Linked DNA regions of Callithrix jacchus. The protein of the gene in region 7 interacts with the protein of the main gene of each other region in a pairwise test. Links are inferred from orthologs where the notes say so. Each region holds a gene or a part of one and is shown on either strand. Other genes may lie near its edges. The genes, in order: TRIM37, NAB2, MAD1L1, MEOX1, SF3B4, CALCOCO1 and CWF19L2.

Region 1 (3,534 bases), on a different chromosome or scaffold from region 7:
ACAGAGGTTGCAGTGAGTTGAGATTAAGCCACTGCAATTTAGCCTGGGAGACAGAGCAAGGCTCAGTCTCAAAAAAAATTAGGTAGAAGAAATGCAAATGAGAACAGAAAAAAAACAAGGTAAAATATTAACAGTAGGTTTCTCTCGTTGAATTTTTTCCAAATAACTTTTTTGGGGATAGGAGATAATAAAAATTGATTTCATAATTTTCATGTATTTCTAAGAAATCAGAAAAGGTTTTTTTTTTTGAGACGGAGTTTCGCTCTTGTTACCCAGGCTGGAGTGCAATGGCGCAATCTCGGCTCACCGCAACCTCTGCCTCCTGGGTTCAGGCAATTCTCCTGCCTCAGCCTCCTGAGTAGCTGGGATTACAGGCATGCACCACCATGCCCAGCTAATTTTTTAAAAATATTTTTAGTAGAGATGGGGTTTCACCATGTTGACCAGGATGGTCTTGATCTTTTGACCTCCTGATCCACCTGCCTCGGCCTCCCAAAGTGCTGGGATTACATGCTTGAGTCACCGTGCCCGGCCCAGAAAAGGTTATTTTTAAAGTTATCTTAGAGTACGCTAGAAAAATCTCTGAAAAAAACCCCAAATATCTGAAGTCTCCCTAGGCATTGCCAATCATTTGCTATGAAAGGTAGAGAGTAAATATTTAGGCATTGTAGGCCACAAATGGATTCTGTTGAAAATTCTTCTTTGGGCTGGGCACGGTAGCTCATGCCTGTAATGCCAATACTTTGGGAGGCTGAGGCGGGTGGATCACAAGGTCAGGAGTTCAAAACCAGCCTAGCCAACATGGTGAAACCCCATCTCTACTAAATATACAAAGAAAAAATTAGTCGGGTATAGTGGTGTGTGCCAGCAATCCCAACTACTCATGAGGTGGAGGCAGGAGAATGGCTTGATCCCAGGAGGTGGAGGTTGCAGTGAGCCAAGATCGTGCCACGCCACCCCAGCCTGGGTATCAGAGCAAGACTCTGTCTTGAGGGGGAAAGGGGGAGAAAAAAAAGAAAATTCTTCTTGGTTTCTTTTGCTTGTTTTTTAAGACTCTTTACCTCTTTACAAAGTAGAAACCATTCCCAGGTCATGGACTATACAAAAGCAGGCTGTGGGCCCCTTCTCTACCCAGTAAGTAGTACTCATTAGGTGCAACCAAGTCAAATATTACCAACTATGTTTTTTCAGTACTCACCATAATAGTTTAACAAAGAATGTTGTCTCACAAATGACAATAATTAAAAAAAAAAAGAAGTAGAAGCAAAAGAAGCAAAAGCAGCAGAGCAGAAGTAGTAGAAGTAGCAGCAGCAGAAGAAGAAGAAAGAGAAGCAGCAACGGCGGTTTTATTAATCTGTGTAAAATGACATCATGTGTTGCACCTTCATCCGGGGGTTGTGTCATGACCAAGAAAGAGTCGTGAAACCCGCCCACACTGGTGTGCTCTTCCTGCTCCTCATTCTCAGTGTCACATTCAATGTCACTGTCGCTACTCATTCCTGGCAGGAAGGAAGGAGAACATGTTTCTGAAAAGAAACCACTATTAGTGAAAGGAAACAAATCTCCTTATCTACTAACCTGAGATTCCTAACTGAATTTTACATGGAATGCCAATAATTCAGTAAACTAAACAAAGACAAAAGTAACCACAAAAATGGAGATTCTCTTTAGCTATTTATAGCAGTGGTTTTATTTTTGTTCTCTAAGTTCAAAATTGCCCTTTCCACAGTACCTGAAAGTTACAATTTGAAACCAGTATTAATTTCATTATATTGAAAATTTCTTTTTTCTAAATCAAACACTGCTTTTTTTCAGTCACAAGAGATAACAGGAATTCTTTTAATCCTGACTCATTGTAGACATAATTATAGTCCCTAGCCTAAAACATATATAAATATAAACATATTATACAAATACACGTGGTATATGAATATTAGAAATTCTGGCAATTCTAATAATACATTAGTTTGTATTCTAATTGGGCATTTACTTTTTTTGTGTATGCCATTTGACTTTTATTTATTTTTATTTTTTGAGAGACAGGGTCTCTGTCAACCTAGGCTGGGTTGTAGTGGCCTGAAAGCTCACTGCAGCCTCAACCTCCTGAGCTCAAGCGATACTCCTGCCTTAGCCTCCCAAGTAGATAGGACCACAGGTACATGAAACCATGTCTTGCTAATTTAAAAGTTTTTTTGCAGGGACAGGGTCTTGCTATAATATGTTGCCCAGGCTGGTCTCGAACTCCTGGGCTTGAGAAGAGATCCTCTCGCTTTAACCTCCAGAAAGATAAGAAACTTTCATTAGTGGGTCAGGGGCCACAGTTGCCCTGGAGTGCTACATGTGAGGATTTAAAAAAATTTTTTTTGAGATGGAGTCTTACTCTGTCTCCCAGACCGGAGTGCAATGGCACAATCTCGGCTCACTGCAACCTCCACCTTCTGGGTTCAAGTGATTCTCCTGCCTCAGCCTCCTGGGCAGCTGGGATTACAGGGGCCTGCCACTGCGCCCAGCTAATTTTTGTATTTTTTAGTAGAGATGGGGTTTCACCATGTTAGCCAGACTAGTCTCTACCTCCTGACCTCAGGTGATCTCCTCGCCTAGGCCTCCCAAAGTGCTGGGATTACAGGTGTGAGCCACCATGCCTGGCCTATGTGAGGATTTTTCTTTTTTATCTATCTATCTATCTATCTATCTGTTTTAGAGATGGGGTCTCACTATATTGCCCAGGCTGGAGTGCAGTGGCTATTCACAGACGCAATCCCACTACTGATCAGCACGGGAGTTTTGATCTGCTCTGTTTCTGACCTGCCTGGTTCACCCCTCCTTAGGCAACCTGGTGGTCCCCTGCTCCTGGGACATCGCAATATTGATGCCAAACTTAGTGTGGACACCCGACTGGCATAGTGCACTACAGCCCAAAACTCCTGAACTCAAGTGATCCTCCAGTCTCAGCCTCCCAAGCAGCTGGGACTATAGGCACGTGCCACTGTGCCTGGACACAAGAGGATTTTTAACACTGCTTTGGGATAGAAAAATGGACCCATCACAGAAAGGAAATTGAAAGTGAGACTAAAACCCCACCCCTGCATAATGTTAAAATTTTTGCTTGTTTTTTGAGACAGGGTTTCACTCTGTTACCCAGGCTGGGGTACAGTGGTATAATCATGGCTCACTGCAGCCTTGACCTCCCAGCGCTCAGGTGATCCTCCCACCTCAGCCTCCCAACAGGCGCACACCACCACACCTGGCTAACTTTTGTATTTTTTTGGTAGAGATGGGATTTCACCATGTTGCCCAGACTGGTCTTCAACTCCTGAGCTAAAGCAATCCACTTGCTTTGGCCTCCTAAAGTGGTGGCATTATAGTCATAAGCCATCATGCCTGGCCACTGCTAAAGTTCTTACTGAAAGAATAGGCTAGAAAAAATTCTCTGCCTACTGGCATAGGAAAATAGAAAGGAACTTTGTTACTACTGGTCTCTGAAGAGGGAGAAAAAAGTCTCACCTCTAAATTCAAAGTAAGATTTATGTGCCT
Region 2 (4,539 bases), on a different chromosome or scaffold from region 7:
TTCTCCCCCCCTACAGGGGGAGGAGTCCCTGAGGGGACTGGGGCTGGGGGGCTGGCAGCAGGTGGGACTGGGGGTAGTCCAGATCGACTGGAGCCAGAGATGGTACGCATGGTGGTGGAAAGTGTGGAGAGGATCTTCCGGAGCTTCCCAAGGGGGGATGCTGGGGAGGTCACATCCCTGCTAAAGCTGAATAAGAAGCTGGCACGGAGCGTGGGGCACATCTTTGAGATGGATGATAATGACAGCCAGAAGGAAGAGGAGATCCGCAAATACAGCATCATCTATGGCCGTTTCGACTCTAAACGGCGGGAGGGCAAGCAGCTCAGCCTGCACGAGGTAAGAACCCCCAGGCCTCCTAGGATTGCCCTTGACTTGTGGGCCTCTAGCTGCTTACCTCTGCGAGCTTCTGAGATCTCCAGTTCTCTTTCATTACCCCCTGACCAGGACCCCAGGCCCTGACCCCCTCCCCAACAGGCCCCCACCCAGGGGCCACAATGCTCCCATCCTCAGCTGAGGAGGATGCAAAGATAGAGGCAGCACCCAGCTGTTGTCAGCTCCGTGTCACTCAGGACCCCACAGGAGTAGTGGAGGCCCCGGGCATTCCTAGGAAGCTGTGGGTGCTGACCTCTGTCTTCTTTCTTCAGAAAGCTCCTGTATAGTGTCAGAAACAAAGCAAGCATCCAATGGATGGGCCTCATTTGTCCGATGGTGAAGGGGTGCGAGGAGGTCTGGTGAGGCAGCCGGGGAGTTTCAATTCTGACTCTCCTGGCTGCCCTCTCTCCACAGCTTACCATCAACGAGGCTGCTGCCCAGTTCTGCATGAGGGACAACACGCTCTTATTGCGGAGAGTGGAGCTCTTCTCTTTGTCCCGCCAAGTAGCCCGAGAGAGCACCTACTTGTCCTCCTTGAAAGGCTCCAGGTGAGACCCCCTTCCCCAGGTCCTTCCTGGACTGGAATCCCACCATGGAGTTAGATCATATCTAAACCTTCAGCTTAGGCAGCTCTAGGCCTGCTTCTGCCCCACCTGCATGTCCTGCTTTTGGCTAAGTCAGCTTGTCTCAGGTCTGGTCTCTCCTTCCATCCATGTTGGGTCCCCCAACCCCCTACAACAATAGCACCTGAGCTATACACTCCTTCTCTGCCAACTTATTGGCAAAGGTGTTAAATAACACATGCCTCTAGCCAGGTTCTGGACTCTGCCCATCGAATGATCGAATGGCCCTCCGCAGCCTCACCCTCTTTATTCTTATCCGTATTTTCAGGCTCCACCCTGAAGAACTGGGAGGCCCTCCACTGAAGAAGCTGAAACAAGAGGTGTGTTTTCTGGGTTGCATATAGGGGCGTCAGGCAGCCTTCTCCAATCCCCTCTCTTGCCAAGTCTTCATTTCCCCATTTTGGGCATCCACAGGTTGGAGAACAGAGTCACCCTGAAATCCAGCAGCCTCCCCCAGGCCCTGAGTCCTATGCACCCCCATACCGCCCCAGCCTGGAGGAGGACAGCGCCAGCCTGTCTGGGGAGAGTCTGGATGGACACTTGCAGGGTGAGTGTGCCTCAGAACACTTTTCTCTTCATTGGGGGTAAGGGGGTGGGGATGGGGGTGGGGGGGAGGAGTGAGCCAGGAGGCAATGTCTGGAACAGGGCTGGGAGGCATGGCTGGAGGGGGGGGCAGAAGGGCCTGTGGGCTGGCTGTGTGGTTGAGGGTGGGGGTTCCATTGGCTGCAGCCCCTTACCTGACCAGTGCCCATGCCCACAGCTGTGGGGTCATGCCCAAGGCTGACGCCGCCCCCTGCTGACCTGCCTCTGGCATTGCCAGCCCATGGGCTATGGAGCCGCCACATCCTGCAGCAGACACTGATGGACGAGGGGCTGCGGCTCGCCCGCCTCGTCTCCCACGATCGCGTGGGCCGCCTCAGCCCCTGTGTGCCTGCGAAGCCACCTCTCGCAGGTGAGGCAGCCAGCAGTGCTGTCCCCAAGCACCCAGGCCCCACACAGCAATTCTGGTGTCCTGGGGCCAGGTGGGAGGAAGAGGTATATAGTCGTAAGAGAGGGCAGTAGGAGGGCCGGGCTACAGCCAGCCAGGCCTTGGGGTGTGGAGAGGCAGACCCTGCTGGGCTGCTTCCACCATGGAAAGTCTGGTCCTAGTGGAGATCTGTGAAAGGAGAACTGGGGAGTGGGGGACAGAGAAAAGAGGATGAAGGAGCAGGAAGGAGGAACATCAATAAGGGAAGCTCAAATGACACTTCCACCAACCCAGGAGCCAGGAGCAGGCTAGGAGTTGCGGGGATGGGTTTGCCCAGCTTGGAAGCAGAGGAGCCCAAAGCGGGGATGCTTTGTGTGTGGAAGGGGGAAGAAGGAGTGGGCCGGCAGAGGGCCGGGCAGCCGCTGGGCTGAGAGTGACGCAGCAGACAAAGCCACCAACCCTGGCTTGGTATTTTTAAACTGTGCGTGGGTGGAAAGTGGGGGCGGGGACTGGAAGGGGGGCTCTTCTTGAGGGAGGAGCTGGGAGGCTGGTTTCCTGCGCTCCCCCTGATTTGGCTACCAAAAAAACTTGGGGGGTCATGGTAGGGTGGGTGGGGACTGGGAGGGGGCCAGGGATGAGTGGGGGTGGCAGAGCTTGGGAAGGGGGGGAGGGGAGAGGTCAGAGCCAAACCACCCCCGCAGCTCCTGACAGAACCAGAAATTCCAGCACCACGGAGGAGGCGGGGAGAGACAGAGAAAGAGAGAGACACAGACAGAGACAGAGCTACACACAGCCAGAGGGGAGGGGGCTCCCACACGGGAATGGAGCCCACTGTACACATGCAGTGGGCAGGAGACAGTAATTAATAAACCAACCCCATCTTCACAGCTTTCTTTGCCCCTGCTTCTGTTCTCAACCACCTCTGTCTGCAGCCAGTCAGCCCGCAGTCTCCTAACTGCCCTCTTTTCCCTGCAGAGTTCGAGGAAGGGCTGCTGGACCGCTGTCCTGCCCCAGGACCCCATCCTGCGCTGGTGGAGGGTCGCAGGAGCAGTGTGAAAGTGGAGGCTGAGGCCAGCCGGCAGTGAGGGGTGCACTGGTGTTTTCAGACACAGGACCCCAGACTTCTGGCTCACACAGACCCCCACGCTCTCCATCCCCGGAATCTAGTTACAACCCTGGATCCTTCTGCTGCCCTTCTCCTGCCTCCCCACCTGCTCCATGGGCATAGACTGTGGGGCTTCAAGCAATAACAAGCAGGGGCCTGGAGAGAGGACACAAGGAGGGTGCGTGGTGCCCTCACCCCTGCCCAGAGCGAGGGGGCAAGGACTCTGCCTCCAGGGCATCTGGGGTTCTCCCTTCCCTCATACAACACACTCCCATTCTCTTTAGGTTTGCACCAGTGGTGTGAGCAGTTGGACTCAGTTTGGACAAGGGGGAGAGGGGGACTTCCCTGGGAAGGTCCAGCAGCTAAAGGTGGCAACATTTGCCCCCAGAACTGGGGGCCTGGGAACACTGGACCTGCTCCTTCTCCCCTCTCCTTCCCCATTTTTGTGCTTCTGGTTTGTTTCTTTAATTTAACAAGTGCTGCAGTTTGCCCTCCCATTCCCATCTCTCCCCCAAGTCCTTAGCAATTTCTTCCCTCCTGCCCTATGTGGGGGCGGTGGGTGTGGGATCCCTTCACTGGCCCCCTCGGGAGGCCTGGGTTGGACTCAGGGTCTCCTCCAGCTGGGGGCTGGAGCACAGCACCTATCTGAGCAGTTAAGAGTGTCTTTCTTTTCAGATTGTGTACAGTAGATTATTTATTTTGTTATTTTGGAATAAAATTTATTTTATGGCTTAGGATCTATGACCCCTGCCTCAAGAGGGAGAAAGGTTGGCATGGGATAGGGGAGTGAAGGGAAGCTGGCAGTGGATAGAGCAACAGAAAAGATGCAGCAGGCAGGGTCCCTCATACACTGGAGGGCCACGTGGCCAGGCCTGGACCCAGACTCTCACCCTGGCTCCCAGGTGGCATTGGAGGTGTGGAGCCATATGTAGATGTTACAGCCACTTGGACCTACTTGGGCAGTCAGACTCCAAATTCAGAGTACTTTTGGGTTAGCATATGTCAGAGAGGGCAGCACACTTGGTGCTGTCTTCTGTGCAATGTCTCACTGGCAGATTTGTGTTGTCACACAGGCAAAAGCAGATAGACACATACTCTATGTTTTCATGCAACTGATGTGCCAACTATACATTAACATAGGTACATACATGTTCACACAGCTATACAGGAAGAAATTTGGCCCTTGTACTTCTGCATAGTCTCATACACATATCAAAAGCCTCCATCTGGCTGACAGGAATTTGGGGCTTTGGGAGATTTGTTTTTTAATCAGGGCAAAACCTGTGTTGGTAACCACATGTTCAGACCCCTCCTGTACTCCCATCCAGGGTCCCCTGAGCTGCTTCCCATTCCCCCAGGGCTAAGACCCAATACCCTCTATCCCTAGTGTAAATGTTCTGCCTATCCATCCTAGGCCCTGGCTTAGAGTGGGTGGAGAAGCCTTCCATGCCCTAACCTGTGCTCTTACCCAG
Region 3 (4,166 bases), on a different chromosome or scaffold from region 7:
TGGAGGTGCAGGGGATGTGGCTGGGAAGGGATGTCCAGGTACAGGGCTGGGCTCAGCCAAGGTACAGACATGAGAGCCTTGTGTGGAGGTGCAGTCAGCACCTCCTAAGATGCCCAGCACCGGGGGCATCTCCTACCCAGCATTTAGGAGATGCCCAGCACCATGGGCTTCTCCTACCCAGCATTTAGGAGATGCCCAGCACCATGGGCATCTCCTAAAGGGTTTGACCCTTCCCTCGGCAGATGTGGTTTTAGGAGAGTTCTAGTTTCGTAGTAGAGAGGAGAGGTCATTTCTGGGCGGGGCTCTGCCACAACTGCACCAGGGCTGCGGGTTGCGGCCGGCAGGTGAAAGTGTGGGTGCCGCTGCTGTCGAGGACCTTGCAGGTGGCTTGGGCTCACTATGCACTCTGTGCGGATGAGCAGACTGAGGCCTCAGAGCCAGCCAGCAGGGGCTGGGACCCAGGACCTTAGGGTACCCATGCAGTGGGAGTGTGTGTGGAGGGGTGTGTGCAGGTGGGGGTCCTGAACCTTGGGGTGGGAGTGAGAGTGTGTGGGTCTGTGCTGGGGCGGATCTCAGGCTGAAGAGAATTGTTGGCCTTGCCACATGCCTGTTTCTGTATGTGATGTATTTTTTTTTAATAGAAAATGGCAGGAAGCCAGTCAGAAAATCCAGGAACTCCAGGCCAGCCAAGAAACGAGAGCAGATCAAGAGCAGCAGATTAAGGTGAGTTGCTTGTGTCAGGTGCCTTGTGGACATCCCTGTGGTGGCCTTGGCTCTCTTGCCCTTGTCGGCCTTTCTGCACCAGTGCCGAGCTCTGTGGGCCTCCTGTGAGATTTGCTGCTGCCCTGTGTGGTGGGCATTTTGCTGGGCACCAGGGATGCCATGGTGAATGGGGCAGATGCTGCTGACCTCAGGGAGTGTGCATTCTAGAGGATGGAGACTGACCAGAGACACGAAGAGAGTGTCCGAATGTATGATGATGTCAAGTGCTGAAGAGTGTGAGAAGGTGATACAGGCATAGAGGGGCTAAGAAATCTGCCCACAGTTGCACAGCTGGAGCTGGGTCTCAGTCGGGGTGACCTACTCAAGCTCATGCTGTGCCCTTTCCCTGTGGAGGGCATGCCAGGGAGACGCCGACTCCGGATCCCTCTCCTACCTCCTGTTGCCTGGAGAGCAGCTTTCAGACCTTGTGCTCCAGCTGTGCCCTATTGGCCCCCCATGTACCCTCACCTCCATGCCTCAAACCAGCTCTTCCTGGCTGCAGAGCTGACTGTCACCCCCAACCTAGCCTCTGCCATGTCACCTCCTGGTGGTGTTCCCTGGCCCCTCATCCTCCTGTCTGCATCCCTCGGCCCACCTGTCAGGATTTGCTGGCTGGTGAGGCCTGGTGTCTGCCACTTGACTTGGTACATCGCACAGAGATGGACTCTGTTAGTGTTTGTTGAATGACCATCTGGTTTGGTTGTGGTTTCATCCTCTGCCTGTTCACTGACTTGCTGCTCACAGATGTCAGCTGTCTGTGTCCCAAGGAGACTGGGTACCATAGGGAAAAGCCTGTCCTCACTATTGGAAAGAGTAAGCCGTTACACACATGCTACTAGAGGGGCAGAAGTGGGCTTGACACAGGAGGATGGGATGTTTCACCATGGAGTGTCATCTTGGGCCAGACTTGAGATAGACTTTTGCTTCTAGATAGCTCCCTGAGGGCAGGACAGTGGTGTGCACAGTAGCCCAGCGGTGTGTGGTGAGTGCCAGCTCCCAGTGTGCAGTGGGCTGGGAGGACGGTGTTGGGAAGAGCTGCCCTGGACTGAATGCCGAGGCTCAGTATTGGAAGCAGCTTTGAGGGCCCTGGTGCAGCCCGGGAAGGCCTCCCAGAGGAGAGTCCTGAGCCATGGAGGCTGCTGAGGACCTGGGGCAGTTTAGTGGAGGAACTTCCTGGCCTCAGTGACTTTACTCTTTAGGGGATGCTTTTTTCTATAGCAGATTTAGGTTCACAGCAAAATGAGCAGAAGGTAGAGCTCCTGTGCACCCCTGTTCCCCGACCCCCCCCCCAAAAAAAAGCACACACCGCCTTTCCTGGTAGAGTGGAGCACATATGACGGTTATGAACCTGTCTTGATGCATCAGTGTCAGGGAGAGTCCACAGGTCACTCAAGTGTCTCTCCTAGAGTGGGACAGTGTATGGTTTGGGCAAATGTAAAATGTCCTATATTCACTGTTAGAGTGTCACACAGAAGGGTTTTACTGCCTAAAAATCCTTTGTGCTCCCCCAGTTAATCCCTGACTCTCTCCTTTTGAGTCGCTGACAATTCCCAAACTTTTGCTGTCTCTATAGTTCCCCCTTTCCCAGAATGTCCGTGGTTGGATCCTAGCTCCTGTAGCCATTGCAGACCAGCTTCTTTCTCTTAGTCGTGTGCGTGTGATTTTCTCCAGGTCTCTTCATAGTTCATTTTTCCCTTCTTCTCTGTCCCTGGCCTCCATCAGGATCTGGAGCAGAAGCTGTCCCTACAAGAGCAGGATGCTGCTATTGTGAAGAACATGAAGTCTGAGCTGGTGCGACTCCCTAGGCTGGAACGGGAGCTGAAACAGCTGCGGGAGGAGAGTGCACGCCTGCGGTGAGGGGGCATGGGGGATGGAGTAGCCTGTAGTGAGTCTGGGTTTGTGTGCAGGAGCCTGTGTTGCAGACCCTGTAGGGGCAGGGCTCCTGGGCTCTTGGCTTCATCCCCAGGGTGTGTGGCTATTTGAGCAACTCTTTGTGGCACTGCCAGGGAGATGAGAGAGACCAATGGGCTGCTCCAGGAGGAGGTGGAAGGGCTACAGAGGAAGCTGGGACGCCAGGAGAAGATGCAGGAGACACTGGTTGGCTTGGAGCTGGATAACGAGGTGAGGGTTTGTGCAGAGTGGGTCGTACCCTTGTGTTATAGGGTGGGAGGCAGAATCATGGTCCCCAGAGAGGTCCATGCCTTATCCCCAGAGCCTGTGAACACGGCACCTTCCCTGGCTGGGTGATTGAGGTCACAGGTCAGCTGGCCCACAGTGTGGAGGGGCTCCTAGGCCATCCTGGGGGCTCAGAGTGACATCAGAGGGACTTGGCAGCTCCTGCTCGGTGTGGAAATGGAGGAGGGGCCACAAGCCAAGGAACAGGGGTGCCTCTGGAAGCTGGAAAGAGCAGAGAAGTGGACTCTCCCCTGGAACCTGCAGAAGGAACTCAGCCCTGCCAACACCAGGATTCCAGCCTAGGGAGACCCATTTTGGATTTCTGAACTAGAATACTATAGGATATTCCATTTGTAGGCCTTTTTTTTTTGAGACAGAGTCTTGCTCTGTTGCCAGGCTGGAGTACAGTGGCATGATCTTGGCTCACTGCAACCTCTGCCTCCCTGGTTCAAGCGATTCTCCTGCCTCAGCCTCCTAAGTAGCTGGGACTACAGGCATGTGCCACCACGCCCAGCTAATTTTTGTGTTTTTAGTAGAGACAGGGTTTCACCATGTTGGCCAGGATGGTCTCAGTCTCTTGACCTCTTGATCCACCTGCAGCCTCTCAAAGTGCTGGGATTACAGGCATGAACCACTGGGCCCAGGCTGCTTGCTGGGATTCATACTTGAATTCATGGGGCTGGGAAGGAGTGACGCATGAAGCGTACAGTGTGACTTCTGCAGTTGGGGAATAATAACCCAGCCACTTCCAAGCAGACTTGGAGCATTTAGTGCCCAGCTCAGAGATAAGGGTAGGCTATCCTGAGAGGTCAGGGACTTAGCGCCGTGATCATTATTGTCAGTCTTATGTGATAATCCTGTGGCGGTGATGACAGGGTCCGTGCTTTTGTTGTCTTTTCAGAAGCTGCTGGCCAGGCTGCAAAGCTGGGAGAGACTGGAGCAGACCATGGGCTTGAATGTCAGGTAGGGAGGGCCAGGTGCCTCTGGGGTCCCACCTTCTCTGAAGGGTCACTGGGGGAGAGCAGAGTCTGCCTCATGCTCACGGGCACTGTCTCTAAAAGCCTGGTGGGGGCCTTTTGTCCTGGGCTGCTCAGGTTTAATGAGGCCTTTCTCAGCTGGTGGGGCAGTGGAACTGAGTGACTTTTCCTGCTGAAGCCTTAGTAACATATTCATTGAGTAGCAGAGTATCCAAAGCAAACCAGTGGCAGGTGTTTGATTGCCCTGCATTG
Region 4 (3,549 bases), on a different chromosome or scaffold from region 7:
TCCAGGCCCGCGGGCCGGGCTGTGCTCCGGGAAGCCCGTCATCCGCTCGTGACCGACCCTCCCGGGCCTGCTGCCAGGAGGGGGCGCGACGCTTGGCGGCGGCCAAGGCCGGAGGGCTCCTCGGGGACCCCAGCCCGGGGCTGCGCGTCCTTCCCTCCAGCCCACGCTCCCGCTTCCGGAGGGTCTGGGCCTGCCTTCTCCGGCCTGGAGCCAGAGGCCGCCGGGCAGGCAGCCCGCGCCTGGAACTCGGCCCCCTGCCCTGTTCCCTGGGCGCGCCCCAAAGGCAGCCAACCCGATCGGACGCAGACCCCCGGGCCAGGGCACCGGGACTATCAGGCCCCTCCCCCGCTTCTCTGGTTCCTGGAAAGGTGGCACCCACTCCCCTACCATCCCGCGGCAGGGACCAGGGACGCGCAGCGCGAGGTGGGCCCGGCCAGGCGCCCAAATCACTTTACCGCACGCCTCCGGCTCGAAAGCCGCCCAGCCCAAGCAGTGGGGAGCGGGGGCGGAGGACGGGGAAGCTGGAAATACGAAGGGGGACTGCATAAAAAGCAGTAGAGCGGGGTGTTGGGAAGAGAACCACCTAGGCTCCGCTCCAAAGCGGATCGCCCGGTTAAGGTGGGGTTCCTGCCTCGCCACCCACTCCCAATGCGGCTGCTTAGGCGCCTGCATGGGCGGCTTCTCTGCCTTAGACTAGCTGGTCTAAATTCCCCAGCCCTGGCTTCCAGGTAGCTTAGACTCGGCCTTTGAAAACAGGACTCCCCTTCCAACACTATCCAGCAAGGCAGAGATGGGTCTTTCAGGGAGCAGGAAGTTGGGGTGCAGGTTTCAGTAAAGCACCTCACTATGAACCACGGTCTCTGTGTCTATAAAATGAGGACAATGAAGCGAAAGACTTAAATGTTAGAGCCCCTTATTCATGGCTCCTGCAGCCATTCCCTGGCCACGTGGCATGCATTGAGAGTTAATGGCTAGGTGTGTGGTCTCTGCCCGCCTCCTCTCCACCGACCATCTCCAGTCATTAAAGTGAAGGTAGAGCTGCCTCCCACCGTCTGCTCCAGAGATAACCATGCAGCCCTTTTATTTATTCAGGACTTTACCACTTGTAAGCCCTTCCTTTTTTTTTTTAGCCTTGCTGTATCGCCCAGGCTGGAGTGCAATGACCTGATCTCGGCTCACTGCAACCTCCGCCTCCTGGGTTCAAACGATTCTCCTGCCTCAGCCTCCTAAGTAGCAGGGATTACAGGCGTGTGCCACTACGCCAGGCTAATTTTTTGTATTTTTATTAGAGACGTGGTTTCACCATGTTGGCCAGGATGGTCTTGAACTCCTGACCTCGTGATCCTCCCTTCTTGACCACCCAAAGTGCTGAGATTACAGGCGTGAGCCACCGCCCCCGGCCCCTACATATTTTTCATTTGAACAGTATGTGTGAGTCAAACCGCCTGAATTTGATTCTTGTCTCCCACATCCCCTGGCTTAATAAACTTGGACAATCTGTTTAACTTCTCCATGTTCATTTTCTGGTCCATAAAGTGAGGCTAATACTAGAACCACTTGGTTGGGCTATTGAGGATTAAGAGGCTAATATTTGTCAGGTACAGCACCTGGCGCAGGGTGTGTCCCAGACCCTGCTGGCAGTTATGACTGAGCCACACTGATTCTAACAGGAGCCTCCTTCCGAGGGGTCCAGATGACTTTCCATACTTGGCTCTCTGGGGCAGATTCTGATTGGGTAGGCAGGTCTGGGGCAGGCCTGAGATCCTTCGGGTTTGAACAGCTCCCTGGTGCTGCTGATGCTGCTGGTGTCCAGGCCCTCGTTTGAGTGGTGAGGTCGTACAGCAGTGGACTTGATCATGCACCAGACGCATCTGAGGGGTTTGTTTTTGGTTTTTTTTTTTTTTTTTTTTGAGACGGAGTTTCGCTCTTGTTACCCAGGCTGGAGTGCAATGGCGCGGGCTCACCGCAACCTCCGCCTCCTGGTTTCAGGCAATTCTCCTGCCTCAGCCTCCTGAGTAGCTGGGATTACAGGCATGCGCCACCATGCCCAGCTAATTTTTTGTATTTTTAGTAGAGACGGGGTTTCACCATGTTGACCAGGATGGTCTCGATCTCTCGACCTCATGATCCACCCGCCTCGGCCTCCCAAAGTGCTGGGATTACAGGGGTTTGTTAAAATTGATCGCTGAGCGCCATCCCCAGAGCTTCTGACTTAGTAGGTCTGGAGTGAGACTAGGATTTGCAGTCCTATCAAGTTCTCAAATCCTGCCTCTATCACTTCTCCTAGTCCTGGGACCTCTGGGTCTCCATCTGCAAAAGTTCTCAGGTAAGGCTGATGCTGCCGATCTTGGGACCACATTTTGAGGCTTTGTTTTAGAGCATCTCATCTCACCCCACAAACTTACGGCCACCAGTTATGACATGCTGGGGGGTGGGCTGGGGAGTAGACATCATTAAACAGCCAAGAGTAGCTTCTTGTGCTTTGAGAATAAAAGAAAGTTTGAAGGTGGGGGCGGTGTGTGGGGGGGAGCAGGTACCTGAAATTGGAAGCCAAAAAAAAAAGTTCCCAGTTCTAAGATGGGTAAGACACCAGAAGGAATAAAGAGGGCAGCGTAGCTTTCTCAGCATCCTGTAAAAATAAGGGAGACTGGGAAAGGCTGCCTAGTTGCTCGAGGAAAAAAGAAAGGGAATGGAGTCTCCTTCAGCCCATGTCTTCCTGTTTGGGGTCCTCTCTCCCTAGACAACCAGGAGAGCCGAGGGAAGCCGGACGGCAGCAGCAAGGCCCGAAAGGAGAGGACAGCCTTCACCAAGGAGCAGCTGCGGGAGCTCGAGGCGGAGTTTGCCCACCATAACTACCTGACTCGGCTCCGCAGATATGAGATCGCTGTAAACCTGGACCTCTCTGAGCGCCAGGTGTGCCCCTGGCAGCCCCTCTTCTTCTCTGCTCTCTCATCTCCCTCCCTTCCCTCCTTTCCTGCCACCCCTCCCTGGACCTTCTCCTTTTTCTTCCTCCTCCATCCAGTCCAGTGGTTCTCAACTGTGGCCATACCTGAGAATCACCTGGGGAGAATTTAGTAGCGCCGATGTCTGGGTGGGAGATGATAAAAGATGAAAATCAACCTGGGGATGATTTTAATTGGTCTGGGATGGGATACAGGCCTCAAAATTTTTCAAAGGCCCCCTAGGTGATTCTCATATGCACCTAGGTTGGGACCTCCGGTCTGCCTATTCCCAAACTTGAGTATATGTTGGAATCCCTAAGGCACTTGTTCAAAATGTGGATTCCAGAGGTCTGGAGAGCGATTTTGCCATAATGAGTGGGCCTGAGAGTCTGTATTTCCAGTACGTTCCCCAGGTGATCTGGATATGCCACTGGTTCCTGGGCACACTGAGAAACTTCCCTGGCTCTTTGTTTTGGACTTTCCCTCAGCCATCCCACCCCCCCACACCCATTCTCTGATACAGAAGCATAGTAATAACAGTAATGTTTGAGAGCAGATTTCCGTTGATAGAGGGCTGTGCCAGAAGATTGGACTTTGAGTCAGAAGA
Region 5 (4,628 bases), on a different chromosome or scaffold from region 7:
CGCCTGCCTCGGTCTCCCAAAGTGCTGGGATTACAGCCACTGTGCCAGGCCTTAATCCTTTTTTTTTGTATCTGGACTTGCAGCTGTCACACGCCAGCCGTTAAACAAGTTCACTAAGAAGATGGGAGTTTCTGTTGCAGATGGCGGTGTTAACCGCTCCGACCCTTGTCCTGTCTTGTTTGGTTCCTGCAGATATTTTTGTTTCTTGTGATTTGAAGAATTAAGAAACAAAAACAATCCAGAAAATGATCGGTTCTTTTAAGCCAATTCCATCCCTTCTGGATAACCAGATGTTAATTGTGAGATTAGAGATGCTGTTCATTAGTCCCAACAACACGGCCCCGCCTTGCTGCTGCTTTAATTCCAACTTCTGTTTCTTTCCTTACAGTTTTCTGAGAATGAGGTGGATACAGGAAACACCCTGTCTCCTCTGTGTATTTTTGTAGTGGAATTGCTATTTAAGGGGTTCATTAAAGCATGGTATTTATACACATTGTTGGCATTGTTTCTTGTGTTTGAATAAAGGATTCTCCTAGGTAGCAAAGAGTGGTGGGTAAAAGGTGGGTGTGACCCAAGAGAGGAAGGCATCCACCATATTATTGATAAGGAAACAGAGGAACTGGGTCTAGTGAGGCGCTGCAGAATTAAAGTGCAGTTTGGGGAAAGGGTTAGATGGGGCACGAGCATGTCAGGATGTTGTCGCTACCGGGCGCGGTGGCTCACGCCTGTAATCCCAGCACTTTGGGAGGCCGAGGCAGGGGGATCGTGAGATCAAGAGCTCGAGACTATCCTGGCCAACATGATGAAACCCTGTCTCTACTAAAAATACAAAAATTAGCTGGGTGTGGTGGCACGCGCCTGTAGTCCCAGCTACTCGGGAGGCTGAGGCAGGAGAATTGCTTGAACCCAGGAGGCGGAGGTTGCAGCGAGCTGAGATCGTGCCACTGCACTCCAGCCTGGCGATGGAGCGAGACTGTCTCAAAAAAAAAAAAAAAAAAAAAATGTCTCTGGGGCCAGAGTGTTCTAGAAATCCATACTGAAGTCTCTGAGCCCATCCACCCATCAGCTGTGGTCAAACACCCTCGGAGCAGCCTGATTCCCACCACCCTTCCCCTCCCCATGTTATTACGACGAAGTGAGCGCAGACGTCACTCCAGCTCAGACATTCCGCAGTCTCCTCCCCTGAAGGAAAACCAATACCTCCAGCCCAAATCAGGGCTGTGAGGCCAAATCAGGGCTGTGAGGCCAAATCTGCAAGAAGGCTGCAGGCGAGATGGAAGCTTCCCTCTGCGCCTGAAAGCAGCCGAGTCCTCCGGCTGCGGGGACTCTTCAGCACGTTCTTCTCTGGGAAACAAAAGAAGAATCAGTGGCCACAAAATATAGCAAAAGTAAAGCCTTGTCCTTTCAGAGTTCGAATTTACATTTTTGGGAGCAGTGTGATTTTTTCAAGCTTAGCATTAAGAGGGTCTGAGCGTTTCCATTTCGCCCTCCTCGCTTAGACCACTAGCAACAGAACAACTGCGCGGGAGGCGAAGACTATACCGGTCGAGCCGGGTTAAAACAAGGAGGCTCCTAAGATGGCTGCGGCTGCTCCCAGGCACTTCCTCTTCTGCGGCCCCGCCCACCATACGTCAGCCTTCGCCCCGGAAGTGGAAGTCGGGCTGAGGTCAGAGAGCGGAACCGCTGCTGGGAGACGGCGGGAGCTCCTTCGCCATGGCTGCCGGGCCGATCTCCGAGCGGAACCAGGGTAACTGGAGGGGGAGAATCTGGAATGCGCTCAGCATGGCGAGGAGGTCCCGACTAGGGTCAGCAGTGCCTCTGCAGGGGTGGGAAGCTGAACTCCTCGGTTCCCCAGAGGGCGCGAAACCGGCCCCATGCCTGCTGGGGGCGGGGTGGCTGGGTGCTGGCTTAGGCCTGTTGGTGTGATACTTTTATGTCCAATCCCCTGCTGCCTTCCCACTCAAAAAAATCCACCCAGAATACTAAATTAGCCTTGAGAGGATTTCCTAAGTCTTGGGAAGAAAGAGGTTTAAGGGTTAAACGTATTTTTTTTTTTTTTTTTGCTCCTACCCTGCCCCGGTCCCCAGTTCCTCTGGTTGGGTTCCATCTTCATGTTTCCATCACCTCCTTTCCTGTTATACTCTCACCGTTGCCCTGACTTTCTGCTCCCTCCCTTCAGATGCCACTGTGTACGTCGGGGGCCTGGATGAGAAGGTTAGTGAACCGCTGCTGTGGGAACTGTTTCTCCAGGCTGGACCGGTAGTCAACACCCACATGCCAAAGGATAGAGTCACTGGCCAGCACCAAGGTGAGTACATGGCAAGGGGCAAATTGCTCCTGGAGGGTCCCAGCAGTATTCACAACTGTTTTGGAATGAGATGAGCAACCTAAAGATTTCTTTGTTTTAAGCCTCAGTTCAGTTTATTTCTGGAGCCATTCTCAAATAAAGTGAGGTTGTTTCTCATTCTTTGTGATCAGAGGGGAGGTGAGTTTTACCCCATTTTGAATCTCTTCACTTAGGTTGTTAACCTCCTCTCCACTTCTGCAGGCTATGGCTTTGTGGAATTCTTGAGTGAGGAAGATGCAGACTATGCCATTAAGATCATGAACATGATCAAACTCTATGGGAAGCCAATACGGGTGAACAAGGCATCAGCTCACAACAAAAACCTGGATGTAGGGGCCAACATTTTCATTGGCAACCTGGACCCTGAGATTGATGAGAAGTTGCTTTATGATACTTTCAGCGCCTTTGGGGTCATCTTACAAACCCCTAAGATTATGCGGGACCCTGACACAGGCAACTCCAAAGGTTATGCCTTTATTAATTTTGCTTCATTTGATGCTTCGGATGCAGCAATTGAAGCCATGAATGGGCAGTACCTCTGTAACCGCCCTATCACTGTATCTTACGCCTTCAAGAAGGACTCCAAGGGTGAGCGCCATGGCTCAGCAGCTGAACGACTTTTGGCAGCTCAGAACCCACTCTCCCAGGCTGACCGTCCTCATCAGCTGTTTGCAGATGCGCCTCCTCCACCCTCTGCCCCCAATCCTGTGGTATCATCACTGGGGTCTGGGCTTCCTCCACCAGGTAAGGCTTTTGGTTAAAATATGTTTGTCCTTAAGGTTGGAGGAGTGCAGCAGGGGAAGAAAAAAGAGTCTGAAAGAGGGACATTGAGTCAATGAGTGATGGGAAGAGTGATGGGAAGTCAGTGAGTGATGGGAAGTGGTGGAGGAGAATGTTGTTGGGTATCTTTGGGAGGCTGAAGTTATTTGACTATTCTAACATTGCTTTTGATTTTCCAGCACTGGGAGGAGGGGCAAAGAACTCGCCGTGGCTGGAGAGGCCAAATATGGTCAGCTCTTTGAAGACATTTTCTCCCCACTACCATTAACTCTTCCTTCTTCCATTTCCTCTACAGGCATGCCTCCTCCTGGCTCCTTCCCACCCCCAGTGCCGCCTCCTGGAGCCCTCCCACCTGGGATACCTCCAGCCATGCCCCCACCACCTATGCCGCCTGGGGCTGCAGGACACGGCCCCCCGTCGGCAGGAACCCCAGGGGCAGGACATCCTGGTCATGGACACTCACATCCTCATCCATTCCCACCAGGTGGGATGCCCCATCCAGGTAGGTGTGCTTTGTTGGGAAAGGGAGGGAAGAGCTTGGTAGAGCATCTCTGTCACCACTCACCCTGCTGCCCTTTGTTCAACAGTAACAGTTTAAGAGTTTTCCTTTTCTTCAGACATTCTCTTATAAAAAAACATACAAAATACACTCTAACAGCTACCAGTCTGAAATGATTTCTTAAGTTTTTCTGATGAGCAGACTATGCTTGCTGTTTTTTGTTTCTTTACCTTTTAGTTCCATTCTCTCCTCTAACTCCACCTCAAAGTGGTGACCTAATTGCCAAATCTCAGGGACAGTTCTCCTTATCTGGTTTGACCTCTGATGTACTTGAAACGTGTCTTCCTATTTGAAATTCCTGTCTCGGCTGGGCATGGTGGCTTCTGCCTGTAATCCCTGCATTTTGGGAGGCTAAGCTGGGTGGATCACCTGAGGTCAGCAGTTTGAGACCAGTCTGGCCAACATGATGAAACCCCATCTGTACTAAAATACAAAAGATTAGGTGGGCATGGTAACTTGCTCCTGTAATCCCAGCTACTCGGGAGGCTGAGGCAGGAGAATCCCTTGAACCTGGGCAGCGGAGGTTGCAGTGAACTGAGATTGTGCCACTGCACTCCAGCCTGGTCAAGAAGAGCAAAAACTCCGTCTCGAAAGAAAAAAGGAAAACAAATTCTTGGCTGGGCACGGTGGCTCATGCCTGTAATCCCAGCACTTTGGGAGGCTGAGGCGGGCAGATCACCTGAGGTTGGGAGTTCAAGGCCAGCCTGACCAACATGGAGAAACACCGTCTCTACTAAAAATACAAAAAATTAGCCAGATACGGTGGCACATGCCTGTAAGCTCAGCTACTTGGGAGGCTGAGGCAGGAGAATCGCTTGAACCCAGGAGGCAGAGGTTGCAGTGAGCTGAGAGCACACCATTGCATTCCAGACTGGGCAACAAAAGTGAAACTCCGTCTCAAAAAAAAAAAACCAACCTTGTCTCTTTGCTTCTTCTTTTTTA
Region 6 (4,166 bases), on a different chromosome or scaffold from region 7:
TGCTGGGTGAAGAAAGGGCCAGGCCTAGGTCAGGGAAAGGAAAAAGAGGGATGGGCAGTTCAGGGCGCCATGAGCTGGTGCATCTGACTGTGTGATGGATGGGATTCCGTAGCACACTGAGCATTCCCTTTCTCACCTCTTTAGAGCCCAAAGCTACATAACTCCCCAACCCCAAAATGCATCTGATGCATTCTGAGTGAGGATGGGCCCTTAGAAGGGGTACTCCACCAGCACACCCCCTTCTCATCCTGCCATCTATAGAACCAGCTCGATGAGAGCCAGCAAGAACGGAATGACCTGATGCAGCTGAAGCTGCAGCTGGAGGCACAGGTGACAGAGCTGAGGAGCCGAGTGCAGGAGCTCGAGAGGGTTCTGGCAACTGCCAGGCAGGAGCACGCGGAGCTGACAGAACAGTACAAGGTGGGAGCTGGGCCAGGTAGGGGACAGGGCCTGGCTGCTCACCCAGTGTCTAAAATCTGAACCCAGGGAAGAGGGTGGAGGAGAGATGTTAATTGGCTTTTATGATGGTTCTGGCGTCAAGGAAATAGATTTAAGGGGTAACAAGTGGGATTAAACTTGATATGACAAAAGACATGTTCCAAACTTGTAATGAGACTCAGTTCTTTGAACATAGGGATGCTGGGCTAAGGTGGAGGTAGCTACATTGATAGGTAAGGGAATGTTCCCTTACAGTTTCTTTTTCAAGGATGATGATGTGATAGCCGGGTGGGAGCAGTCAGACCCTGGAGTACTCTTCCTAAGTCTTTGTTCCACCACTTGAGAGATGAATCCCAACCTCCTTTTTCTTCTGGGGGAAACTTAATTACAGGGAATTTCGAGGTCCCATGGGGAGATCACAGAAGAAAGGGACATCCTGAGCCGGCAACAGGGAGACCATGTGGCACGAATCCTGGAGCTGGAGGACGACATCCAGACAATCAGTGAGAAAGTGCTGATGAAGGAGGTGGAGCTGGACAGGTGAGGGGAGTCCACTGACCCCCTCACTCCAGCCTCCTCTCTCAGGCAGGCAGACCTGCTGTCTGCCCCACATGCTTCCTCTTTCCCTCACCCTCACTCAGGCTAATCCAGTTACTGGGGATACCCTTTTCTGCTGAGCTTTCTCCCACCTTTCCAAACACTAGTCTTTACTCCTTCTCTTCAGAAATAATCATAGTTACCCCTTATTGTGCAGCAAAAGCTGAGCCAGAGCTGGGAGTGGAGGATTTGGAAGAAGAGAAGGGATAGAAGTCAGTGTAAGATAAGAGAGGATGGATATGGCTGGGCGAGATGGCTGATGCCTGTTATCCCAGCACTTAGGGAGGCCGAGGCAGGCAGATCACCTGAGGTCAGGAGTTTGAGACCAGCCTGACCAACATGGAAAAATGCTGTCTCTACTAAAAATACAAAATTAGCTGGGCATGGTGGTGCATGCCTGTAATCCCAGCTACTCAGGAGGCTGAAGCAGGAGAATCGCTTGAACCTGGGAGGCGGAGGTTGCGGTGAGCTGAGATTGCACCATTGCACTCCAGCATGGAAAACAAGCGTGAAACTCCATCTCAAAAAAAAAAGAGAGAGAGAGGATGGATTTCAGATTTGACCACAGGAAAGTTACTATTAAGAAACATTAGAACTGGTGATCCAGGAAGATTATGGAATCTCTCCCCTGAAAAAATTAAAATCATAGACTCTTGGCATTGGGAATGTAAGGTATGTATGAGGGTATGTAAGAGGTCACCCTCAGGAGGCAGCCTCCTTCAACATTTGACAGCTGTCATTTTTGTATCTCTTGTATTAAGCCAAACTCCATCCTCCTGTAACTTACCAGGAGGTCCTGAGACCTCTGGAGACACACAGAACACATTTCTCTCTTCTTCCAGAAAACTGGTACCTCTACCAAGTAGCATAAATAGTGATACCACCTCCCGTGTCCATCCTTCAAACTTTCACGAGTTTAAACACTCTATCTAGTTCCTTATTTCATTAAATGACATAATTATGTTTCATTTAGTACTGGTAGATGTGATATTTTTTAAAACTGTTTAAAAGAAAGGCATTCCGTCCGAGGCCCAAAGTAATAAGTGGGTTCATCTGAGAGGCTTCTTCAGGACATGTTAGTCTCGCCCTAGGGAGATATTAGCTGTCTACATTCTAAGTCGTAGGTTAGAAAAGCAGGGGTCAGATTGAGCATCTGGAAAAGATTAGGGACTGCCTAGACCAGGGGTCAACAACTATGGCCCACAAGCCATATTTAGCCTGCCACCTGTTGTGTAGCCCACAGGTAAGAATAGTTTTTACATCCTTTAATGGTTAAGAACAAACTAAAAGAAGAATATTTTGTGACATGAAAATTGTATAAACTTGAAATCTTTGTTCATGTTTTGTTGGAACATCGCTCTCGTTCACTTGCATATTGTCAGTGGATGCTTCTGCACTGCAATGACAGAGTGGAATAGATGCCTCAGAGACCACATGGCCTGCAGAGCATACAATCTTTACTATCAGGCCCTTTACAGAAAGAGTCTGCCAACTTCTGGTCTAGATCAAAAGTTTATCATCAATAATGACTGCCCTTGTCTCGAAAAGACTAGATTGAGTGAAATCAGTAGGAGCCATCAGCAGAACATTCCTTAAAATATCACTTCAAAAAAGAAGAAAAACTATTTATTTCTAAATTGTGCTCTAGAACCTGGAATCTTGGGGCTTAGAACTGGATCCGCTGGCTTGGGGATTTATGCATCCCAGAGTGAAATGGAGATCTGGGCCTAGAGCAGCAGTAAAAGGGCACAAGATAGAGGTCTGAGTCCGTTCCTTCTCTGGGTGGAGCAGATTGTCTGACATGTCATCCTACCAATCCCAGGGTTAGAGACACAGTGAAGGCCCTGACCCGGGAACAAGAGAAGCTCCTTGGGCAACTGAAAGAAGTACAAGCAGACAAGGAGCAAAGCGAGGTAAGGGGCTCAGAGTCGGTTTACTTTCTCCATTGTTCAGTCAGTGTTTGATTCCTTTCTGAGAGCCGGGCACCAAAGGGAATAAAAATGTAAAGAAGACATTGTGTGTGCTCTACTCGGGAACAGAAGACATATATCCAAATCAGAATTAGTCAAAGTGGAATATAAGAAGTGTCACAAGAGAAATCTTCTTTTGTTGTTGTTTTTTTGGAGACAGAGTCTCACTTTGTCTCCTAGGCTGGTGTGCAGTGGTACTGTCTCAGCTCACTGCAACCTCTGCCTCCCAGGTTCCAGCGATTCTCATGTCTCAGCTACCCGAGCAGCTGGGATTACAGGCGTGCACCACCACACCCAATTAATTTTTGTATTTTTAGTAAAGACAGGATTTCATCATGTTGGGCAGGCTGGTCTCAAACTCCCGATCTCAAGTGATCCGCCTACCTCAGCCTCCCAATGTGCTAAGGTTACAGGTGTGAGCCACTGTGCCTGGCCTCAAGAGAAATCTAATGAAGTATTGTAGGGCTCTAGGGAGGTATGTGAGAGCAGATTTTGTTAGAGATGTTAGAAAAGTCTTTTTAAAAGGGGTGTGAAGGCCGGGCACGGTGACTCACGCCTGTAACCCCAGTACTTTGAGAAGCCAAGGCGGGTGGATCACCTTAGGTCAGGAGTTCAAGACCAGCCTGGCCAACATGGTGAAACCCCGTCTCTACTAAAAATAACAACAATTAGCCAGTCATGGTGGTGGGTGGCAGTAATCCCAGCTACTCGGGAGGCTGAGGTAGGAGAATTGCTTGAACCAGGAGGCAGAGGCTACAGTGAGCATAGATCACAATACTGCACTCCAGCCTGGGTGACAGAGTAAAAGACTCTGTCTCAAAAAAAAAAAAAAAAAAAAGCAGGGGAGGTTCATGGCTAGACGTGGTAGTTCATGACTATGATTGTAGCACTTCGGGAAGCTGAGGTAGGAGGATTGTTCAAGCCCAGGAGTTCAAAACCAGCCTGGGCAATATAGTAAGACCCCATCTCTACAAAAAATTTTAAAATAGCTAGGCATGGTGGCATGCACCTGTAGTCCTAGCTACTCAGGAAGCTGAGGTGGAAGAATTGCTTAAGCCCAGGAGGTCGAGGCTGCAATGGGCTATGATCACACCCCTGCACTCCAGCCTGGGTGACAGAGTGAGATTGTGAGATTCTGTCTCAGAAAAAAAAAGGGGTGGG
Region 7 (4,166 bases):
AACCATAAGTGTACAGCAGCAGACTAATCATTTTCATCAAATGAAAACATTTGTTTACTCAGCACACAGTTTGAAAAATCTCATTAGCAACCCAGATGCCCCCTTTATGGCCTTCTAGTCACTACCTGGTCACGGGAAGGGTAACCATTATTCTGTTTTCTAGTACCAGATACCAGTATATCCTCCTTTGTTTCAAGTTCCTTTTGCCCACATTTTGAGATTCATCCGTGTTGTTGTGTATAGTTGTAGTTTTTCATTATCTTTGCTGTATAATAATAAATAGTATATTTTAGGAATATATCACAATGTAGGAGGTGTCCTGTGTACTATTGGTATACATTTCCTGGGTTGTTTCCAGGCTGGAATTATTGTAGTGTTCTGCTATGAATATTCTTATATGTGTCTTGGGGTCAATATGTGTGCATTTTTGTTGGTTATAGAGCTGGGGAGATCTTAAAGCAGTCATGTTCTGGGGCAAGGAAAATAAGGAACAGAATTTTATTTTTTTTTTTGAGAGAGTTTCCCTCTTGTTAGCCAGGCTGGAGTGCAGTGGCGGGATCTCGGCTCACTGCAACCTCCGCCTCCTGGGTTCAGGCAATTCTCCTGCCTCAGCTTCCTGAGTAGCTGGGATTACAGGCACGCGCCACCATGCCCAGCTAATTTTTTGTATTTTTAGTAGAGACGGGGTTTCACCATGTTGACTAAGATGGTCTTGATCTCTTGACTTCGTAATCCACCTGCCTCAGCCTCCCAAAGTGCTGGGATTACAGGTGTGAGCCACCGCGCCCGGCCAAGGAACAGAATTATTATTTAAGTAATTGATTTCTTCTTGACACATATCCAAAGTGTGATGTGTAAAGAAGAAAAGAAAGCCAGCTTAAAAAATTCGTTAAAGGCCTCCAAATGTTCATGGTTGGTAATTATGAGTAAAGTAAGATAATTTGTTTTAACATCCACTTGCGTAACTTCCCTATTTGTTCTGCCACTGAGGTAGCTTTTCCTTTCTGTGTGTGTCCTTGTTATTCCTTAATTATTTCTTGGACTGTCCTCCCTTACCTTTTTAAAATAGAAACCCAATTCATTTTCTTGAGCCTGGTTTCTGGAATTTTCCCTGACTTCTCACTTTGAAATAACTCTTTACTTTCTCACTTTCTTGAACCCTGTGTATCTTTTTATATTAGCGGTCACTTTATTTTTATTTTAATTAATTATGTCCTTTTATTCTTATTCTCTTAGATTGGAATTTTCTTAAAGATAGATTTATTTATCTTTTCCTTCTTCCTAGCGGCAAAACTCTGTGGCTTACATATATGGGCAGTCACATATAATACATATGTTGAATTCCGAATGCACTTATATATTTAAAGAAAAATATTTGTATTTTAGAAGTCATTATAGAAGCAATAAATCTTAATTGTATGATAACCACATTAAAAGTATAACGAATATTTAATGTTGGAATTTAGTTTCAGTGGTAGAAGATGGTGGATTAAGCTGGCTAAGGAAGTCTTATTTAAGAATGAAGGAACAAGCTGAGAAACAAAATAGAAACTTTGAGGACATTGTAGCCGAAAGATATGGGGTGAGTATCTGTATTAAGGATATGGGTCTTATTTTCAGAATTATGTGAAAAATTAAGTGCCTTTAACTTTGTTTTGTGCCATGAAGAATTGAATTAATATTACATTTCATGTCTTTATACTACTGAAGTAATTTTCTGCTTTTCATTATTATGTAAACAGATATCTATTTTTTATTGGCTTAATGAATGTAAAGCTTAAGTTTATAAAACTTAAGTGTGGGTGTGTTTAGTGTAAAAGTAACATTTTTTCATTGTGATAAAATTTAAACAATGCTGGAAAGTTTGCATGGTACACTTCTGGAGGTAACCACTGTTGAAATTTTTGTATATTCCAGAGTTAGGTATATTCTAGAGTTTGGGTGTTTTACAGAATTTTTTAGAAGAGTGTATATATACTCTTAAAACAATAAAAGCATGCAACAGTATATATTTTAGAGCCAGTTTCCCCATTTTTTCTGGACAATCTTTCTATTGCAATAATTATCGATGTTCTTATTTTTTTTCTCAATTACCAGAGGAAAGCAGGTTTAGAAAGTAGTAAGAGTTTTGGAATATACTTTTCCAGGTATTCTCCCCCTGCTTTCTAAAGTAGGCTTATGGAATATGCCCTGGCTTTTTTTTTTAACTTAATTTACACATAGTTTGATGCCAGTTATTATATACATGTTAATGACCTCTTAATATTTTAATATACGTTTTATAGGATTTTCCTTCATCTGTTGGTCAGTGGATGAACATTTATATGCTTTCCTTTTCCCTTGTTGCAAGGGAATATGCATTTTGCATATTTTTCTTACTGGTGAATTACTGGAAATGAAACTGCCTGTTTAAAGGATATAGACATTTAGAGCAATGTACCTGTTGCCAGATTTCCTATGGAAAGAATGAACACATTATGCTTAAGAATATCTTTTATCACATAATTTTCAACAGTAAGATTATTCCTTATAGTTTATGTTATTGTGATTGGCAAAAATTTTAAGTTTTGCTTTTGTTTTTATACATTTGTTTACTGGTGAATTGGAATTTTTTTAATATTTATTTTGGCCATTTGTATCTTCTAGTGAATCGACTATTGATATTATTTGCCCATTTTTCCTTTGGAATAATGATTTAAGACTTTTTAATAAATCTGTTCAGATTTCTTCCCCTCAGCTTCATGTTTGTTTTTTACTTTGCTTATAATTTGCTATGGATGTTTGACATAGTTTTACCTATCAAAACCCCTCATATGATTTTTTCATGAGTTAATGCTCATTGGCAGGCCTTCGCCACCACCACAGTCGTAAGAACGTACAGCTATATTTACTTTGAGTACATTTAGTTTAAGCTCACCAGAAATAAACATTTTTCCAAAATTTTTTATAAATTTATAACTTTTTGGAATTTCGATTTAACTAAATGAATAGATAAATTAAGAACAACTAGTATCTTTATAATATACAGTCATCCCATCCTAAAACACCAAGTATTTATTTATGCATTTCACGAGTTTTCTCTGCAGTTATTATCTCTATGCCACTGAGGTTATTTTTATTTTTTTCAATTATAAATTGAAATCTAAAAATGTTTTCTGACTTGCTATTGGTGTTGGTTGGCCAATTTTTTAAACTTTTTATTCTAATTTAGAAAATTTTGGGTTATGTGGGAAGGTAGTTATATGCAAATAATTATTTTGCTTTTTTCCTCTCTGTTAAAATATTTAAACTTTCTTTTCTTTTTGAAGTAGTTATAATTTTAGAACTTTGATGAGAGGATTGGAAGCTGGTATTCTTGTCTTTAAGTAATGACTTCTTGTGTTTAAGATTATATCATGTTTAAGTATCTTTATATTCAAAGTTGAGTAAAAGGTGCTTTTTTGTTTGTTTCTTAAAATTTTTATTTATTTATTTATTGTGTTGTATTCCAGGATGTTTTGATATGCACAAGGAAATAATTACTACAGTTAAGCAAATTAATGTATTATTTATCTCACATAGTTATTCTCCTTTTTTGTCTGATAAAAGTACCTAAAATCTACTCTCTTAGCAAATTTTCAGTATATAATGGGGTATTATTAACTGTAGTCCTCTTATTGGACGTAATGTCTCAAGGCTTAGTTATCCTATAAAATGGAAACTTTGTACTCGTTGACCTCCGTCTTCCCATCCCCTCTCCTTGCAGTAACCACCTTTCTGCTTTCTGTTTCTGTGTGTGATGCATCTTTTCCTTGAAAATTGTTTTAACCTTTGCAACTACAAGGACATTTGTTTAGACTTGACCATTGCATTTCCCATTTGGTTTTTAGCATCTGTTTTTTTTTTTTTTTCCAGAGATCTTTGCCCTAATTCATTTATGGAGTGACTTAATCATGTTGAGCAATTTTTTGCCCTCAGAATTGCTAGTGCTATGCCCTCTTATTCTCTGCATTTTTCAAAATGATTTTCTTTTTCTCATACCTAGGAAGGATAATTTGATTGTAAATTGAATTCTTTATGTAGAATTATAGCTTAATTTTTTAAAAATTTCATCTTGAGTCTATTATTTATTTATTATTATAGATGAACAGCTGATAAGTCTGTCTTTCTTTTGCACGTAATTTGTT

The links.
Region 1: the proteins of CWF19L2 (region 7) and TRIM37 interact in binary tests that used the Homo sapiens proteins (3 or more experiments, as listed by UniProt). The two-hybrid records come from large-scale screens. The link is inferred for Callithrix jacchus from reciprocal best matches to the Homo sapiens genes CWF19L2 and TRIM37.
Region 2: the proteins of CWF19L2 (region 7) and NAB2 interact in binary tests that used the Homo sapiens proteins (3 or more experiments, as listed by UniProt). The two-hybrid records come from large-scale screens. The link is inferred for Callithrix jacchus from reciprocal best matches to the Homo sapiens genes CWF19L2 and NAB2.
Region 3: the proteins of CWF19L2 (region 7) and MAD1L1 interact in binary tests that used the Homo sapiens proteins (3 or more experiments, as listed by UniProt). The two-hybrid records come from large-scale screens. The link is inferred for Callithrix jacchus from reciprocal best matches to the Homo sapiens genes CWF19L2 and MAD1L1.
Region 4: the proteins of CWF19L2 (region 7) and MEOX1 interact in binary tests that used the Homo sapiens proteins (3 or more experiments, as listed by UniProt). The two-hybrid records come from large-scale screens. The link is inferred for Callithrix jacchus from reciprocal best matches to the Homo sapiens genes CWF19L2 and MEOX1.
Region 5: the proteins of CWF19L2 (region 7) and SF3B4 interact in binary tests that used the Homo sapiens proteins (3 or more experiments, as listed by UniProt). The two-hybrid records come from large-scale screens. The link is inferred for Callithrix jacchus from reciprocal best matches to the Homo sapiens genes CWF19L2 and SF3B4.
Region 6: the proteins of CWF19L2 (region 7) and CALCOCO1 interact in binary tests that used the Homo sapiens proteins (3 or more experiments, as listed by UniProt). The two-hybrid records come from large-scale screens. The link is inferred for Callithrix jacchus from reciprocal best matches to the Homo sapiens genes CWF19L2 and CALCOCO1.

What each region holds. Positions count from the first base shown.
Region 1 is NC_133506.1:93,606,845-93,610,378, forward strand, and holds part of TRIM37 (E3 ubiquitin-protein ligase TRIM37), read right to left. Parts: intron 1,527-3,534; coding exon 1,383-1,526; intron 1-1,382. UniProt on the Homo sapiens protein: E3 ubiquitin-protein ligase required to prevent centriole reduplication. Probably acts by ubiquitinating positive regulators of centriole reduplication.
Region 2 is NC_133510.1:62,619,117-62,623,655, reverse strand, and holds the end of NAB2 (NGFI-A-binding protein 2), read left to right. Parts: coding exon 1-336; intron 337-786; coding exon 787-920; intron 921-1,263; coding exon 1,264-1,315; intron 1,316-1,409; coding exon 1,410-1,542; intron 1,543-1,755; coding exon 1,756-1,947; intron 1,948-2,937; coding exon 2,938-3,047; 3' UTR 3,048-3,804; downstream 3,805-4,539. UniProt on the Homo sapiens protein: Acts as a transcriptional repressor for zinc finger transcription factors EGR1 and EGR2. Isoform 2 lacks repression ability.
Region 3 is NC_133503.1:56,827,723-56,831,888, forward strand, and holds part of MAD1L1 (mitotic spindle assembly checkpoint protein MAD1), read left to right. Parts: intron 1-641; coding exon 642-723; intron 724-2,484; coding exon 2,485-2,615; intron 2,616-2,768; coding exon 2,769-2,883; intron 2,884-3,836; exon of another isoform or gene 3,837-3,838; coding exon 3,839-3,900; exon of another isoform or gene 3,901-4,166. UniProt on the Homo sapiens protein: Component of the spindle-assembly checkpoint that prevents the onset of anaphase until all chromosomes are properly aligned at the metaphase plate.
Region 4 is NC_133506.1:70,519,475-70,523,023, reverse strand, and holds part of MEOX1 (homeobox protein MOX-1), read left to right. Parts: intron 1-2,740; coding exon 2,741-2,913; intron 2,914-3,549. UniProt on the Homo sapiens protein: Mesodermal transcription factor that plays a key role in somitogenesis and is specifically required for sclerotome development. Required for maintenance of the sclerotome polarity and formation of the cranio-cervical joints.
Region 5 is NC_133519.1:9,859,570-9,864,197, reverse strand, and holds the start of SF3B4 (splicing factor 3B subunit 4), read left to right. Parts: upstream 1-1,669; 5' UTR 1,670-1,713; coding exon 1,714-1,747; intron 1,748-2,179; coding exon 2,180-2,308; intron 2,309-2,548; coding exon 2,549-3,091; intron 3,092-3,422; coding exon 3,423-3,629; intron 3,630-4,628. UniProt on the Homo sapiens protein: Component of the 17S U2 SnRNP complex of the spliceosome, a large ribonucleoprotein complex that removes introns from transcribed pre-mRNAs.
Region 6 is NC_133510.1:65,835,900-65,840,065, forward strand, and holds part of CALCOCO1 (calcium-binding and coiled-coil domain-containing protein 1), read left to right. Parts: intron 1-261; coding exon 262-420; intron 421-829; coding exon 830-978; intron 979-2,857; coding exon 2,858-2,948; intron 2,949-4,166. UniProt on the Homo sapiens protein: Functions as a coactivator for aryl hydrocarbon and nuclear receptors (NR). Recruited to promoters through its contact with the N-terminal basic helix-loop-helix-Per-Arnt-Sim (PAS) domain of transcription factors or coactivators, such as NCOA2.
Region 7 is NC_133511.1:7,239,168-7,243,333, reverse strand, and holds part of CWF19L2 (CWF19-like protein 2), read left to right. Parts: intron 1-1,466; coding exon 1,467-1,582; intron 1,583-4,166.